Linked DNA regions of Drosophila melanogaster. The protein of the gene in region 2 interacts with the protein of the main gene of each other region in a pairwise test. Each region holds a gene or a part of one and is shown on either strand. Other genes may lie near its edges.

The links.
Region 1: the proteins of mms4 (region 2) and CG12547 interact in a two-hybrid assay, tested with the Drosophila melanogaster proteins (one large-scale study listed by BioGRID).

What each region holds. Positions count from the first base shown.
Region 1 is NT_033778.4:4,783,052-4,792,288, forward strand, and holds CG12547 (uncharacterized protein), read right to left. Parts: upstream 5,592-9,237; 5' UTR 5,536-5,591; coding exon 5,349-5,535; intron 5,295-5,348; coding exon 4,087-5,294; intron 4,025-4,086; coding exon 3,266-4,024; 3' UTR 2,804-3,265; downstream 1-2,803.
Region 2 is NT_033778.4:10,806,886-10,814,769, forward strand, and holds mms4 (methyl methanesulfonate sensitivity 4), read left to right. Parts: upstream 1-4,192; 5' UTR 4,193-4,239; coding exon 4,240-5,169; 3' UTR 5,170-5,330; downstream 5,331-7,884. Other genes in the region: CG12935 (uncharacterized protein), read left to right, coding at 2,904-3,306, 3,366-3,658; Nop10 ribonucleoprotein, read right to left, coding at 3,732-3,872, 3,938-3,991; CG12341 (uncharacterized protein), read right to left, coding at 5,478-5,864; CG7222 (uncharacterized protein), read left to right, coding at 7,192-7,329, 7,398-7,706.

The DNA.
Region 1 (9,237 bases), 6.0 Mb from region 2:
ATTGGACGGCACACATTAAAAAATAACTAGTTTACTAGGTGCTCCATTCTAGACACCCCGTAGTTGTCGCTAATAAATGGCGTTAGGTCGATCAGCCGTCGCCGTGCCTCCCAGTTCATCGATTGTGTGGTCCACATGGCCTTGCATCTAATCCGCTCCTGGCAGGCAAAGAATCGTTACCGCCAGCAGTGATGGTTCCATTGTCCTTAGTTATTGTTCGAACAGACAAACCCGATTTTTTTTCGACCTGCGACGCATGCTCGTTGCTGTGGAACACTTGGCCTCATCCTCGTGCATCAAGAACAGCGAACCGGTCTGATTGAAACGATGGTATGATGCACAGTCTGATGGTCGTGGAATTTTGCTTGTAACAAGCGCCGCAATTTTCCTAGCAATGCCCCCAGCACGTGCGTACAGTGCAATTTTATAGTTCTTACAGTTAAGCAAAGAGCGAGCAGATCCAACAGCTCACTTGTGAAAATGAAGACCGTGCACGCTTTAAGATCATTATAGGCCAAAGGCGTTAAAGTCGCATCCAGACTTGTCGCATCTGGAATAGTGACTTTTTTTCAAATAGACACACGCTGCTGCCTGCCAGCTCCAGGCACAATTACTGAGATTTTTTGCAGTGCGGAGTGGTTTTGTTTCAAAGCTTAACTATCACACGATCATATTCGCGCTCTAAATGGAATGTGCTCAACAGCACAAATCGGTGGATGCGTCATCGTCCAAGTACTTCTTCAAATGCTGGACCCGGTGAGTCAGTCAATTCCAACGTGGGAACAACTGCTGTACGTGGTCAAGTCAAGCGTGTGCCAGAAATGCCCACGAATTGCACCGCATTAACAGAGAAACGAATAATGGATCTTCGTCTTGCTTGATAATTCTGCGAACACTCAAGGAATAGAACAGCCTTCATTTAATTTACTAAGTTGGACTTCTTCGAGTAGATGGTCGACTGCAGAACTCTTCGTTGGATTTTAATGACAGTAACCCAATCACCGTACCGAAGGGATCACATCATTATGGCTATTATATGTAACACTCGTATCCGCATAAATGCTTCTTAAAAGAGTTGGAGTCCCCCGAGTTTTCGTACTTAGGAGAGCAGCTGAATATAAGCCACTTGAAGTAATTCATTTATGTAGATATTTGGTTCTTTATGCCACCCTTCTTCGTGCACATTTCTCGCATGCATCTTACATACTTCTTAATGAATCTTGTATTTCCTGCACCCTACTAGTAACGGTTATAAAATAAAAGAATGATAGATAACTGATACTCATTGGTAATGGTATAAAGAAATCTAAAAATTTGGTTGAATAGCAAAGAAAAAACAAACAAAAATCTGAAAATTTACGAAAATGTGGGCGTGACAGGTTTGCTTTTTCAGCTTGCGGGCGCTAAAATGGGCACAGATAAAGTGATTTTGGTATTTCAGTTATATTGTAGACAAGTAGACAGTTTCCAAGTAATAAAACTGAAAATTTTTTTTTTCAAAAATGTGGTCGTGCCCATCTTAATCTTGATATTACAGCATTTATTAGTATAAGCAGATGGATGGACGACGGACATGGTCAGATCGACTTGGCTAGTGAGAACATAACACAGTCGGAAACGCTTTCTTCTATCTGTTACATACATACACTAGCAAACTGCATAAATAAATATTTTAACGTTTAACGTTGGAATTAAAGTAAAAAACAATGCGAAAGGGTTTAATGTGTATCGTCAAACTGTGTATTAACAAATTAAAACGTTTAAAAAACATAATGATTTAATGATTTAATAATGAACAATCGCTGACGACAAAATCCTTATACGGGAACTAAAAAAAAAACCCTACCAGCCCAATCCGTTGTAACTCAGTGGAATCTGACCGCCAGCCTCACGAAAAGTAAACGTAAGCAATCAGTGACTGCACAGTCTGGCAATTTAAAGGAACATAGATTGCTAAGGATGTGCCGTATATTTCAAAAATGTTCAAGTGTAAAATGTTGAAATATGCCAAAGAAACATATGGATGAAAGCTTTTGTGATAGTAAATCGTCAAAACAAAAAATTGTTGGTAAGATTACCAACTCAGAAAAGGCAAAAAATAAGGCCTTCGGCCATGATGTTGTGGGGATGTGTTGCCTACAATGGGTTGGGCGACTTGTTTCATAAAATTTAGTTACACAAAACTCGAGAGAAAGATTTGACACCAGAGATCGTTCACAATTTGGTGGATTCAGTAACGGACTTACTACAAAAAGTTATTTGTGCCAAAGGAGGGTATATATTTTATTAATTGTTTCAATACTCCTAATGTACGTTTAACCTTTTTTGGCATTAAAGGCTTGTCAAAATACGTATGCCGATACAAAAAATCATCATATCATATTAAATCGGAATTTTATATCTATATATTATATCTATATCAAATTGGAATACAAAAAAAAAAAAATGAATATGAAAAACAACTGAATCTAATGTGCATTTTAAATAATAAAATTGGATCATTTACATACTTCATATTAAGTCAAATGACTTTATAAATATAAAATAATTAAAGCAAATACAAAGGAAATTATGATAACTACTGTAATTTAAAACATAAATTTTCCAAAAAGAAGACATTACATTGAAAAATAAATATTTCATAAAAATAATACGAATAAATTTATAAAAAAAATTTATAAATTTATAAAATAAAAAAAAATATGAAAACTGTTTATTGCAAAAGTCATATCAAAGACACTAGAATTATTCTAGTGTCTTTGCTTTGCTGAATACTCTATAAATATTCTAATATAAAGTCATTTTGAAATTTATTTTGTGTTATTATGATTCGGCTATTACTATTTCTCAGCTATATTTAAATAATAATAACGTGCCAATTGATCAAAAATAATATAGATTTAAGCCTAAAAACTTCTAAGGTGAAGGGAATATTTTGTCAAATTCACAATGCATGAGCATACGTGTGCACACATACAGTTGTCTGCTGTCACTGTATGCGTAGAAAGGAGCTGTAACGCTCTCCGCTCTCGAACAAAAATTCTAGAGAGCCTGGATCCACCTCTAGAGCCACAACGAAAAAATCGTGTGCCAAAAAATCTTTGGCGTTACGCATCTTGTTATTCTAGTATCTTTGTTTATACTCTGCGGTTATAATTAATTTAAAACAAACATTCGAACTATTTACACTGAGAGTAAAGGATATAAATGTACATACCGAAACATTATTATGGATATATGCAAAACTTTTCTATCAAAACATTTTTTATTGTTCAATGTCAATATTTACGTTGTGGATGGATATATATTCTTCTTGTATGTCATCGCGTTTTATAGAAACCGTGATTTTTTTTACTAGGCAACAATTTGAAAGGCATAAATTTAATACGAATTCGATGGTAAATATTTGACTGCTTTCACACATAAAATCAGGCCTAGTAGCCTGCACCTGCATGTGGCACATCCCATCAAGTAGATTTCCGCACGTTGGATTTACTATTACAGATTGACATACAGTTTTCACTATCCATTTTTGAGGAGCTTCCTTTGTAAAGTTAAATCTGGGCGAAAGCCGAAGGTTAAAAAAAATTTTACTTGGTTTAATTAAATCAAGAGGCAATGCTTTAACTATATTATTTTCCGTAGGCTTTTGTGTATCTTGTGGCGCATCAATTTCACTAGCGGACGCTATTTGTCTGAAATCTAAGCCAAACGGTTGTGCTATAAGCGTTACCAAATCTATTGTATGTATTGAATGGTTATTGGTATCAGCTACCAACAAATTCCGTCCGCTGGCATCCAAGCACAGTCCGGCGGGCTCGTTTAAAATCAGGTTAGTATTTTCTTGGCTCTTAATTTGTAGAGTAGATATATCATTTGAATCGATGTCAATAATTTTGATTTTATGATTATAGGTATCAGCAACATAGAGTTTGTTATTGGTATCATTGAAAGTCACTCCTAACGGATGTTGGAGTTTCGCGCTGAATAGTCTACCGTCAATGTCGCCAAATGCAAATAAATTCTAGAAAAATCATACATTAATTTTGAAGACTATATAACTCATATTCATGACATGGAACATACAAGTGGGTTTCGATCTCCTCCGACGACAGGCATAACCTTTCCATCTATCATAGAAGCTTTGCGTATGCTAGAGCTTTCGCTGTCAGCTATATATAAAACGTCTCCCGCTATGGCCAGGCCAGATGGCTGTGCGAATGCAGCGTTCTGTGGGTAAGAATTATTACGGTTCTCTTCCAAACCATTTCCTATTAGTGAGACACAGCAACAAGGCTCAAATTTACGAAATTTCCACCAAATAATTCCTTCGGGAAAATAGCCCCAAATCTGGTGGGTGCCTGCCATGGATATAAGGATAATTGTTTTTTCTGGTATGTTACGTTCATCAAGATGAAAGGACATATCCATGTCCCTCGTTCGAAATATGGCAACATCCCACGGTGACGACAGTGGTTGCAATGGTCCTAGACGTCCACCTATTCGATCATTTCCCTGAATTCCTGTGCCAGCAAGAGTTTCCACCATTGCATTTGTTAGAGAGATCTGACGAATGGCGTGGTTTTTAGTGTCCGCTACAATCAAAACGTTTTCATTAAGAAACGCAATGCCTTGAGGATTATTAAACCGTGCCACTGTTAGGTCTCCATCCACGAAACCAGGCTGGTGTCCTCCAATTCTGTGCTGTACCACACCGCCTGCTGTAAGCACAAGCACCCTGTTGTTCCCCGTATCAGCAATAGCATACAGGCCATTAGGGCCTTGAACAATCTTTGCGGGAAAACGCAAGTTAGATGCTGGTTGAAAGTCATTAAATAATTTTAAAGGTAAACCCCTATGGTCAATTATACCCTGACGGCTAAAATACGATAGGGCAGAAGAAAAAAAATCCTGTAGGAATTTTCCATGCCCTTCACCCATTAATAACATCATCGGAACACCAGTCGGGCTTAGAATCAAAAGAGAAGGCCAGCAACGAATTCCAAGAGCGCGCCACATTCCAGATCGTGAATCATTGACAATGGGATGTGATATTCCATATCGTTGTACAGCGGACAGAATGTTTGCCGCATTGCGTTCATTTTCAAACTTAGGACTGTGAACACCGATTACTACAACACCACTTTCTATTGGAAAGCGTTCTTCCAATAAGTGCAACTCTTGCAGCACATGCATACAATTAATGCAGCAATATGTGAAAAAGTCTAATATGATAACTTTTCCTTGCAGTCCTTTTATCGATAAGGGGCAACTTACATTGAACCACTCTAAATCTGAAGTAAAGCAATTAATAATATGAAGCATTGATAACTATAATTTCCTTTTACCTGATTCAAATTCAACAGTGAGATCCTTGAGTTTTGCAATGGAGATATCGTCATTCCATCGGTCAAGAAACTTGACAATTGTCCCAGCCTTTTCATTTTCTCCTTTACTGCTTTTGTATGCTTGCAACAGTTCATCTGTTATAAATGTCAAAATATCAATAGGCGATAAGTCATTATTAAAATCCATTCTAGCATAAGTTATAAAATTGTGTATATATATTCAGATAAAGTTAATGTGACCAGAGGTCTAGAATGAAAACTATATACATATATATGCATGTCGACAAATTTAATATTATAATTATTAGGAACGATGATGATAGGAACACCATGAACAGCATAAAATTCAAAAATGTTCGACCTTAGTTTGATTGAGTAACTGTCACCCTCAGAACGAACAGATTCCATAATGAACGATAGACGAGTTCTAAAACTCGTCTAAAGAAAACTCTCTAAAGAATTATAAAAATATATATAGTGAAATGCTTGTGTTTATTGAGTGGAACTAATGTCCCGTCAGTTGACTAAGGATAACGTCTTTATTCTTTTGATCACAGTTTAAGACTAAATGTTAGTGACAAATATCTTTCTTACACTGCCCTTTTGTTTACATTATTTTGACATAGACAGTATTATCGATAGCAATTAGCGGATGTGATGTACACTGGCGTGGGATTATGTGAATAGGACACTCATTGCCCAGTTGTTTATATTATTTCGAGAGCGAGACCGCCGGCTTGGTATATTGATATTAAGAATATTCTTATTTCTTTGGACAGTGCTAATTATGTGTATCCCTTCTCCTCTCTTAAAAATTATAATGCTTGGGCTGGTATTACAGGGTAGGCAACTAGTTTTGTGCCGGTTCTATTTCTTGTAGTGGTTCTTGATTACTTTGTCTTGTTTTCCAAATTTAGACTGGGGATGTATAAGAAGGTTAGTCGATTCATTAATTTTCGCCTAAAATAGCATTTCCAATCTTTATTTTACATTGTTTATTTTGAGAGATTGTATGTAAGTATAATATTTGGTTCAACGTACTAGATAATTTCCTTTGAGGGAGTCGGCATATAATTTCAAATTGGATTCTTCCGCTTAATTATATTTTTAATGCATTCATTGTTAACTTCTTTTTTGTTATGATAAATTGTATTCTCATCTTCAAAAAATATGTTTTTTTTATCTAAATAGTTTAACTGATACCCATATGGTCAGGATAGGGAATTATTTTAATGGTGTTGATGGTTTCCTGGTTACCAGGGCTATGTGAAATGAGTAAGAAGAACTCGTTATTTTTGTGGTCAATTCAAGTTGATGTTCTGATAAAACGTGAACCTATTTTGTCAAATTAATTTAATTTAATCATTTAATTCTTTTAGAAGCTTCTTGTATAAGGTTTTCATTGTGGGCGAGTCTGTGATTTTGTTACCAAAAGATCGAGATTTTGATCACAATGATTTCCGTTAAATTAATTATTAGACAGTGATGATATTTGAATTGGATTGCTTAAGAAGAGTAAGTAGCCTAGGTCGGAATCTTTGTTGATTATTTGAATATTTTGACTGTGGTCCGTGGTGAATGTTAGACACAACATAATTATACACAAGGTTCCTGTGGAAGTTTAACGGTATTAGGTTTCTTTTGTTTCTTAAATTGTGTTTTGTAGTATTCGGTTTCCCTATTTCGTATTTTGTAATGGTCTTGATCTATTTATCTACATTTTTAAATGGGTTTGGTTTAATTTTTTTTATTTTCCTCTTTGAAGTGGATCTTTCCTGTATTTAGTGTCAATATTTATTTTATGGTTGTATGAGTAAAGGATTGTTTCTAATTTGCTTAACAGATGAATTGATTATACGGATTTTATCATTTATTATATTATTTAGTCTTTAGACGTCTGCTACACCGTTTCCTGCCGTATTAAGTTGCAATTCGATTCCTTCTTCTTAAAGCCGTCGCTTTAGAGTCAAAATGGAAAAAGCTCCGTCTCTGTCTGCCTTTAGTATTTTGGGTTTACCTGATTGATTGGAAATGCACATTATTGCGTTTCTGCATTCTATCCAGTCCTTTGTTTTAATTTCACATATCTCTTCTCTTCAAGTGTAGCGAATTTAAAATAAATGACAATTCAACTGATGTTGATTGCCTCAGCAATTAGGAGTGATTTTAAAGGCAATTTGGTGTTTCTGTGTTCTGTGTTCTGTGTTCTTTAATTAATTTTGTAATGTTCTGTATAACTGAATGAATGAATGAATAAGGTTGTCTTCTTTTGCGCTATGTTGAGTAACTTCCCTATGATGGTTTTCTTCAAGTTTAATTCTAGATAATGCATCGCCAACTGAATTCTCCATCCCTTCAATATAATCGATTTTTGTTGATGATAATGATAACCTGATGATAGCAATGATAAACTGTCGTCCTAGTAAATAATGTCGAAAAGTTGTTGTTGCCCAAGCTATGGCGAGTAATTATTTTTCGATAGCGCTGTAATTTAATTTGTGTTTATTAAGTGTTCTGATAAGAAAGAATATAGGATGACCATTTTGAGAAAGTACTGCCAAATGGGCTAAATTACTGGCATCTGTGGTTAAAGTAGACTTTTTTGAAAACGGATTAAAGCTATAAGTTTTTTGAATGCCTCTGTGTAGCCAAGGTTTTGTGCACCTACATATCTGTGCGCTTTTTTTTTAAACCTTTGGTTATTTGTCTTGCTATGTCTGGGGGATACATTTGCTGTAATCGGTTAATCCAAGAGAAGCTCTGATCTCTTTTACCTTTTTTTGGAATTGGATATGAATCTATGGCTTTTATTTTAAGAGGTTTTGATTTTATACCATTAGGGGTTACGATGTGACCAAGAAAACTAGCTTCCTTTTTCAAAAATTTACATTTATCTGGCTGCAATTTTAAATTTGCTTTTGGGAGTTTTAAAAAGCCTATCTGTAATGAATTTAAAATGTTCAATAAGGGATGTGGAGAAAAAACTAAACAGTGTTTATTATCTATTTATATGTGTATATATGTTTATTAGAATATTATTCATGCCAAATGGCATTCGAATGTACTCATAATGTCCGCTTTTGGTGGAGAATGCAGATTTACATATTGATTCTGGGTCAATGGTTTTTAAATATTAAATATTGACCTTTTCCTAATTTACCAAGGATTTCGTCCATGTATTATATTGGTTATCTGTCCGGGATAGTTATTTCATTAAATTTTTATAATCAATTACTACTCTGTACACAAGTTTCCTAGACGCATCAGTTTCGAACTACCGAGCTGGGACTGTTGTATGGCGAATTACTTTCCCTGAATTATACCTAATTGAGCATTTCGTGTACTTGGTTTTCGACTTCAATTTCATGCGTTTGAGCAAGTGGGTAATGTCTGGAATAAATTTTGTTATGTGTTATGTGTTGTATTTAGTGTGTGTTTAATGGTATTTATAAATGTTTGTTTATCCATCTCTTTATATTAAAGATTTTTTAATTTATTTAATAAACCTGAGTTTTTATTTGGTTCTGGTTTCTTTTGAATTTAAAAATTTTTATATCTTCTCGGCTCTGAAGTAATCAACTTGTATGTTTTGTCAAAAAGGTTAACTGTGCTATTATTGTGCTATATTGTTAATTTATAAATGCTTGTGCATTTATTGCCAATTAACATATCGTAATAATTATTATTAGTTATTAGAAAAACTGTGTAGATCAAATGGTTGATTTTTGTTTAAAAATACTATTGCTGGGTAAGACAATCAAGCTTTTCAACGTAATAGTGTCATTTGATGTTAAAACTTCGGATATTGTATTTTGAATAATATTATTATTATTAAGTGGGTTTCTATGTGTACTGCGACCCAGTCGGCTCTATTGTACTACCCCTTCAA
Region 2 (7,884 bases):
TAAAATTATAAAAATAAAAGCAATAGGGGATGGTATAAAAATCGAAATGAAGTGAGCAGGGATCCTCATTGAATCAAAAAACATTGTTTGATAACAACGAGTAAAAAGCAAAGCGTTTAATAATAACGCAAATAGAACGCGTTTTGTTGGTCGCGAGCGGCAGGGTGAGATGAGGAAACAGGCAGCTAGAGCGGGACGACTATACGTTTACAAATTAATAGGGGAGCAATATAAGTAAAGAACATTATGGAATATCCATTTCTTAGTGCAACTACACACAGCTCCAACCAGTGTTAATAAATAGATGATTTGTAGATGGAGGCCGAACGCAAAGATTATGTGGAATCAGAGAAGGCTGAAGCAAAAATGTAACAGAATGTAACCCTGTCAAAAAAAGAAACTTTCCAAACTTTCCAAACTTTCAAAACTTAGAACCTATAGTCCGTCCGTCCTTCTGGTCTTTTCGAAACGAACTTAGGACCTTGCCAGGATACCGGTTTTGTAGAAAGTTGCGGAGTGAGCGGGACGGACAGAGAGAGCGGCCGGAGAGTAATTGCAAGAGAGAGCAAGAGGCCAAATTTATATATGCACGTGGCTATATATATTTGCCTGTATGTAGGAATTGAATAAAGTTCGCGTAGCGCCAAACACAGCACGACAAAGATACAGCAGCAAGCCGAAAGCAACAACTACAACACCGGGCAAACAAAAATAGAGGCGTAAAGTCGTTGTTTTTGTAGATGAAATGCTAAAACCTTCGATATCAGCTCTATTAAAGAAATTGATCCTAGAAGCTAGTGACATTGGATCATTAAATTTCGACTTGCTCTGATGGCAATACTTTTTTCAAGATGCTTAGGTCCATTAAAACCGTTGCTTATACACACAAATGTAGATAACAAACATGTTTAGGTGTCGTATTTTTGCAACTTAAAGTATATATGGCCAATTTATCGTCTTTAAAGTTCGGTCTTGTATTTAAGCCAATTTTGGGCTATATGTCTATTATAGCTGTCCCGCTCTAACACGCGCACACACACCAGTTAAGTTCGTTGTAGCAACGGCACATCGGTGTGAGCGTGTATGTATATCAGAACGTGTATTTGTGCGATTTTGCAACGCATTTACATTCTTTTTAGGTTACGTATCGATTTTGATGCAGAGTGAGGTTAGATCGAAAAACATCCAAGTTTTTGCATGCTTTACGAAAGCAAGGACATTTTTGAAATCCCCTCGGCGCCCTCTGCATGTTTCTGGTATCAGACGTTCGATAAAGACTAAACCCCGAAAAACCTAAAACGAGCAGGTTGCAAGCAGAAGCAAAAGCAAAACGGGCGGCGTTTTTATTCACCTATTGTACAATTTTATGTTTTTAGGGTTGCCAGGTATGCATTATGTTTATCATGAATATAATATAAAACCTCGATGTGTCCGATTAGACGCAAATCAAATGTCTTTAAATGTATAATTGAGACCATGATGTCGCGCAGGGTTGCCACCGGCAGGTCATTTTTTGTCCTATTGCAATGGCATTGCGGTATATAGTCTTGCCTACACGTCGGTAGTCTAGTCTAAAATATAGCATAGTAACAAATCCAGATATATATCAGATTTCGCCTGATTTGCAAATCGCGGTCACTTGACAACCCTGAAAACACAAATGTCTTTAAAGAGACTCGTACCATATCTGGCGTATGGTACCCGTACCCAGTCCAAATAAAAAAAAACTTCAAAACCCAGTAAAAAAAATGCAAATCCCAAATGTACCATTCGATTGGACCATTATATTACAGGGTATTTTTATAAAGAAAATTATAAATATAACATAAAATGGATAAAAAAAACTACACTTACCTTTCTACGACACGACAAACTCGTTTATTAACTTATATATTACCGAAAACTATTGAAATATGACTTGTGGTCTAACGGCAACTATCAAATGTCAATGATTTGAATGAATTTAACAGCTTCTCCGTGATTTGTTTACAATTCGCAGGCAACTCCACTTCCGATGCCCTTAAACGACGAAGACTGAAACACAGACTAAAATCGCACAACAACAGAAGGTGCCGAAAAGAACCAGTCTATGCACAACTGGTTCCGAAGAGCAGCGCCCAGATTGCAAGCTAGCGGCACTTGGAATAGAGATTGGCGCGTGATTCCGGATGCCGATTTCTGATACGCATCGAGAAGACATTTTTTATGGACGTTTCTAACAATACTTATTATTTTTGTATTTATTTAGGTTGGATTTTGGCAAAACTTATTTTATCTTATATTCAACTTTGCATTTTTACGCAATTTGTATTATTATTATTATTATTATTATTAACATGATGACCAGATATAACTTAAACTGGTTACCTTCTCATTACGATAGTAATATTATAAAAGGATGTATATTTAATAGCTGAGGAGAAGCAGCATTTCTATAGTATTTATATACAAAAATAAAAAACGTTATGCAGTTCATGCACGTGTACATCCCTAGTTTGGAACCAAACAAAATCATATGTTGTTACTAGGGCTGTATAGCTAAACGTTTTATTTATGGGAGCAGAACTATTAAGTGCCAGTTGGAACTAAGACGTGATCTCCCCTGTCCCTTCTTTTGCTTAAAACTGAATCATATTGACAAATGTTTTCGGCCCGTTTAAGTAATGTGACGTTCTCATGAAATACAACGGTGAACATTGCAAAAATCGTGTTATTTTCGTTAATTGTTCCAATGGGTGAACTAGTGAACGGAGTCAGCATGTGCCAGCCCTGATGGCTGCTTTGTTGAACTAGTTCCAGTTCCGGAGCTAGTGAACCAATAGCAAACGGAACAAAACAAAAACATCTGTAGATTATAGGTTAATTTGTTTTATAATAACAAATGCGGGAATTATTCAATTAAGATGAGCAATCTGCTGAATTTTGCCCTGCGGCAGGGCGTCAACTCCATCAAGCGCCTTAGCCTCCAGAGTTTCAGACTGGCAGCTCCGGCCATTGTAACAAAAACGCCGGTTACTTCCACGATAAAGAGATTCTCCTCCCAAGCCGCCCCCTTCGATGTGAACACCAGTGTCCCCAAGGACATAATACTTTTCAAGTATGAAAACCCCCGATTCTACCAGATGCTTAACTTTTTCGGGGTGTGTCAGTTTGTTTTCTGGACATATCTCTCGCACTTCGCCTTCACGACGCTTAAGGATGCTCCAGTGGTGGAAAAACCCGGAGAGGAGCTGAAGTGGTTCCAGCGCATAAATCTGGGCGATAATAAGTACAGAAATGGCATTACAGCCTGTAGCTTTCTGATAGGTAAGAGTGGTTTACTACGTTCTCGGCAAGCCGAAAATAAAACTCAACCAACATTTTAGGATATGGCATACTGTTTGCTGTCTGGATGTTTACCCTGCGATCGGTGCGTTTTCTTATCTTGAGAAAGGGTGGTCAGAGCGTTTCCTTTGTGACCTACGGTCCCTTCAACCGGAATCGCATTATGACCGTGCCATTAAAGTGCGTCTCCGCCGAGGAATCACGGAACATGGCCAGGGTGCAGCTACCCATTAAGGTGAAGGGCAAGACACTGTATTACGTCCTGGATATGCGTGGCGAGTTTCGGAATGGCGAGTTATTCGATTACACGGCGGGCCTCAAGCGTCGCATTTAAAGGGCAAGTTTTGTTGTTTTGTAGCTTATTATTTGTAAATAAAGATGTACACTAATTAAAACTAAAATGCGGCTTAGTAAATGGGCTCCGGCTTCTGGGTGAGCAGCAGTCCAAAGCGCTTCTTGATGGTCAGCCTCTGGCGGGAGTACTTATCCTCCGGTGAAAAACGTGCTGGATGAGCAGATAGTGTGGGACGACCATCCTCGGTGCGTTTCTAGAAGAGCAACAAGTGGTGACTTAGTTGGGTAATATATATATAGGGTTTTGATAATAATATACCTTCAGGGTGTAAACGCGATCGCCGTTTTCGTTAATTGTGTACATCAGATACATTTTTGCAGTTTTTGGATTGTTTTTCTGTAGTCAAAGAAGCAGAAAATAAAACACGTGTGGCGTGCGTTGCAAGGTGCTACCAGGCTTTAAAAAAAAATAAGCACTAAATAATCCAACTTAAGAGAATAGTCAAGCCTCGAACCGTGGAATAAATGTTAGCTAGATTTTCGTAGCTAGATCGCTTGTTATCGATTCACTTCCATCTCTAAGCATATTTGTATAGAATATTTGGCGGACTTTTGTACACAATGTCAAATAAAGTGGACAAGCTGCACAAGCAGGCTTTACGCGAACAACAGAAGCGTATTAAGCCCGGAGAATGTATGAAATATGTGCGGATGGTCATAGATGCCGGATTTCTGGGCATTCCCGTGGGCCAGGAGGCACTGCAGCAATTGAATGCGACGGGTTTGAAGTATGAAATAAGGAGCTTGCCCGTGAGCCACTGCATCCTGTGGGAACGCAATGTTGGCCAGCAGACGATTGCTCTGGGCAGCAGTCCCACCGGCCTAGATGAAGCCTGGAAATCGGAAAACCAAGTGGTCCAGTGGCTATCCGAAAGCAGCTTCCAACGGGCTGTAAAGGATCAAAGTCTAGTTTGCCTGGGACCGCGCTTGCAGGACTCATTTCCGGACTGCCAGTACACCATTGCCCTGCCAACGCTCCGTCACAGCAAGCATGGCAGCTCATCCAGCCAGGACGCTCTGATTGAGATGCAGTTGCTCCAGGAGCTACACGTGGAACAGCTAGATCAACCCGAAAGCCAGGATCTAGTGGCCCTGCTGCAGCGCTATACAAAAGCAATAGCCGAAGCCCCCTATAAGAAGCAACGCAACGAGACATTGGGAGGCTTCAAGAAATACCTGGCCAACGACAAGAAGCAGTGCGTCCGTGTGGATCAGGGAAACGGATACGGAAGACTCTGGCAGCAGCATCTGAATCGACTGCCAATGGTCACGCTGGAAGTGGCCGAGTCCATAATAGCGCAGTATCCCTGTCCCAAGAAACTGATCGATCATTTCTCCAGCGATCCACTGGCTGTCCAAAGTCTCGCCGATTTGAAGATCAAGCGATGCAATGGACCACAGCCTCTTCACACCGAGCGACGTATTGGAAATGTTCTCAGCAACAAACTGTATACATTGTATACTGCCAAGGATCCCAATACTCTAATTTAGAAAACTAAACTAAACTTTCTTAGCTTTAGAATCTGCTCATATATTAGCTTCCTAAAGTATGTACAATTATAATTAGGTTTTAAGTTAAGATCTAAGTATTTTACATTATTTTCTCATCGTATAAGGTATAATTTTAAAAATCACAATGTTCCTATACACATAACTATGAATTCAATTAATTGTGGTTTGCACACCTGAAGAATTGATAATATGTCCGCTTGGAAGTCGGAACTCTGTGAACATTGGATTGGGCGCGATGTGGAGAATGGAGTGTTGGCCATGGCCGATGAAAAACTTCAGTCCGTGCTCTATAGCGTGGCCAGAATCCGGGTGAATCCCAGGCAGGCGGAGACGATGGTCTGGCCGAGGCCCCAGATCATGGCGTATATGGGCGACATGGGCAGACTGGAGGCGCGATGCACAAAGGCGATGACTGCACTGCTGATTATGCCACTGGAGGCCGGGGAAAGGAAACCCATGACAAGGATGAGGATCGAGAAGAATCGTCCGAACTTGTGCTTCCGGAGCGTGAAGAAGGCCACCACGGCGGCGCAGGTGTGAATGAATATGGAGGAGAACAGGGCCCACAGAAAGACGTGGTACCACATTTCGCGAAACGTATTGAGACGCGCCTGTGACCGGAGTCCCATCACATCGGCGATGGTGTCCAACTCATCGGTGTCGTCCGAGAACATGGCTAAAACGTAGTCGATGGATGTTGACGTGGTATCCCTAGTTACTAGTTGCTAGTTATTGCTTTTCCGTTGGTCAGTTGAGTGTCCAGCCGCATGTCTGGTGGGGATTCCCTTTCTATAGCATGTATCCAGCCAATATTCATGGACCTGCAAACAATAACTCCCTTTAGACTTGACCTTCTGGCATTTAATTATACTCACGCCAACACATGTGTGTGCTAATGGCCACACCCATACCACATTTGTCGTATTCTATAGCCGGATTTGGATTGCAGTCTTTTTCAGTTGCTTGATCCTATTTAGCATGGCCTTAACTTCCGGTTAGCACTGTAGTTTAGCAAATGTTTGGCTTATTTTTAATTCGGTCAACAATCGATTGAACTTTCGTCACGGCACTCAATTAGCGCTCGGCTGGCGGCAGTGAATGCTAAATCGGGCCTAATTACCAGGCTACTGGTGTGCGGCAGCCCTAACTCCACATTTTGAGCAACACCAAACACTTTTAGTTGGTTTAATTTAATTTTATATTGTTCTTGTCTGCGATTTACTATGGCAATGGGAATGGAACGTTTGGGATTGGGCCAGTTCTGATAAGCAAACAGCTGTGACTCAGTTGCGAACTGGTTCGGGGCTTGCAGCGCAGCTCTAAATTATTATACTCAAGATATCCATATGTAAGGCAGATATCGTAGTGAAAAGTCACAGGGTTTTTAAGGTATATTCTTTTGTAAGCTGTGTTCAAATGCACTGCTTTCAGCACAAGCATGCTTATCGTTATCGAGCAGCGATAATCGGCGAACTAGTTCAACATAAACCTTCTTGGCACAAGTGACAACTCTGAAACCAATCCATAAACAAAAAATTTTGTGTAAACTAAAAACAAAAAGCGGAAGTTGAAAAACAACACCTTAGCGTATAATTTGGCCCCTTATGATTTGTTAAGTTTCTGTTTTGGAAAATGGGATGCTGAGATAGCCCTGAACAGGTGTAAGTCGTCCTCCTACACTATGACACATTTCTTCCGAGACGAACTTACATACATACGCACATATGTACACATATGTATGCATGTTTGTAACTGCATCCATATACGATATATGTATCTTACGCACTCGCGGCTATATACATATATATGCGGAATATATATGTATGTAAGCCGTCAATATGAGAATCGGTTGAAGTTAAGTCTTCATTTAAAGTGGCTATAGTACATATGTATATACACACTTTTAACCAGCATATGCTTGTGAATCGAGATTAATCAAAGGCCCTGCATTGCAGACTTCATATACTTCAAGCCCCACAAAACCAACGACGCATTTAATCAATGTTCTCCAACGGATTGCCGTGCAATCTGTCGTTTCCGAGCTGTCTCAGTGTACCAAAAGACGAGATCGGTAATGAAGAGCTACTGCCATCCAATATGGGTACTCGCGAGCCTGTTATACTCAATGTCTACGATATGGTAAGCTTACTTACTCCTGTTGCCCATGCGGACATCGCACAACGATAAATGTAACCTTGCATTTGCAGTACTGGATCAACGAGTACACCACCTCAATCGGCCTGGGCGTATTTCACTCCGGCGTAGAAGCCTTTGGCACCGAATTCGCATACGGCGGACATCCATTTCCGTTTACGGGGGTATTCGAGATCTCACCGAGGGATCACGACGAGTTGGGCGATCAGTTCCAGTTCCGGCAGAGCATCCAAATCGGCTGCACCGACTTTACGTACGAGGAGGTGCGACGTATCGTCGAGGAGCTGGGTAATCAGTTCCGTGGCGACCGATATCATCTCATGAACAACAATTGCAACCACTTCTCGGGCTCATTAACTCAGGTGAGACATAAATCGAGGAAACTTTCCACTGGGTGGATCCAATATCAAGCAATATTTTGGGTGTGCTTATGCATGATTCACCGATTGTCAGATACCGCCTGTTACAATCAGAAGTTCTTATTGTGAATCACCTCAAAAAGTAGGACAGATTACCATCCTAAACACGTCCAATACAATT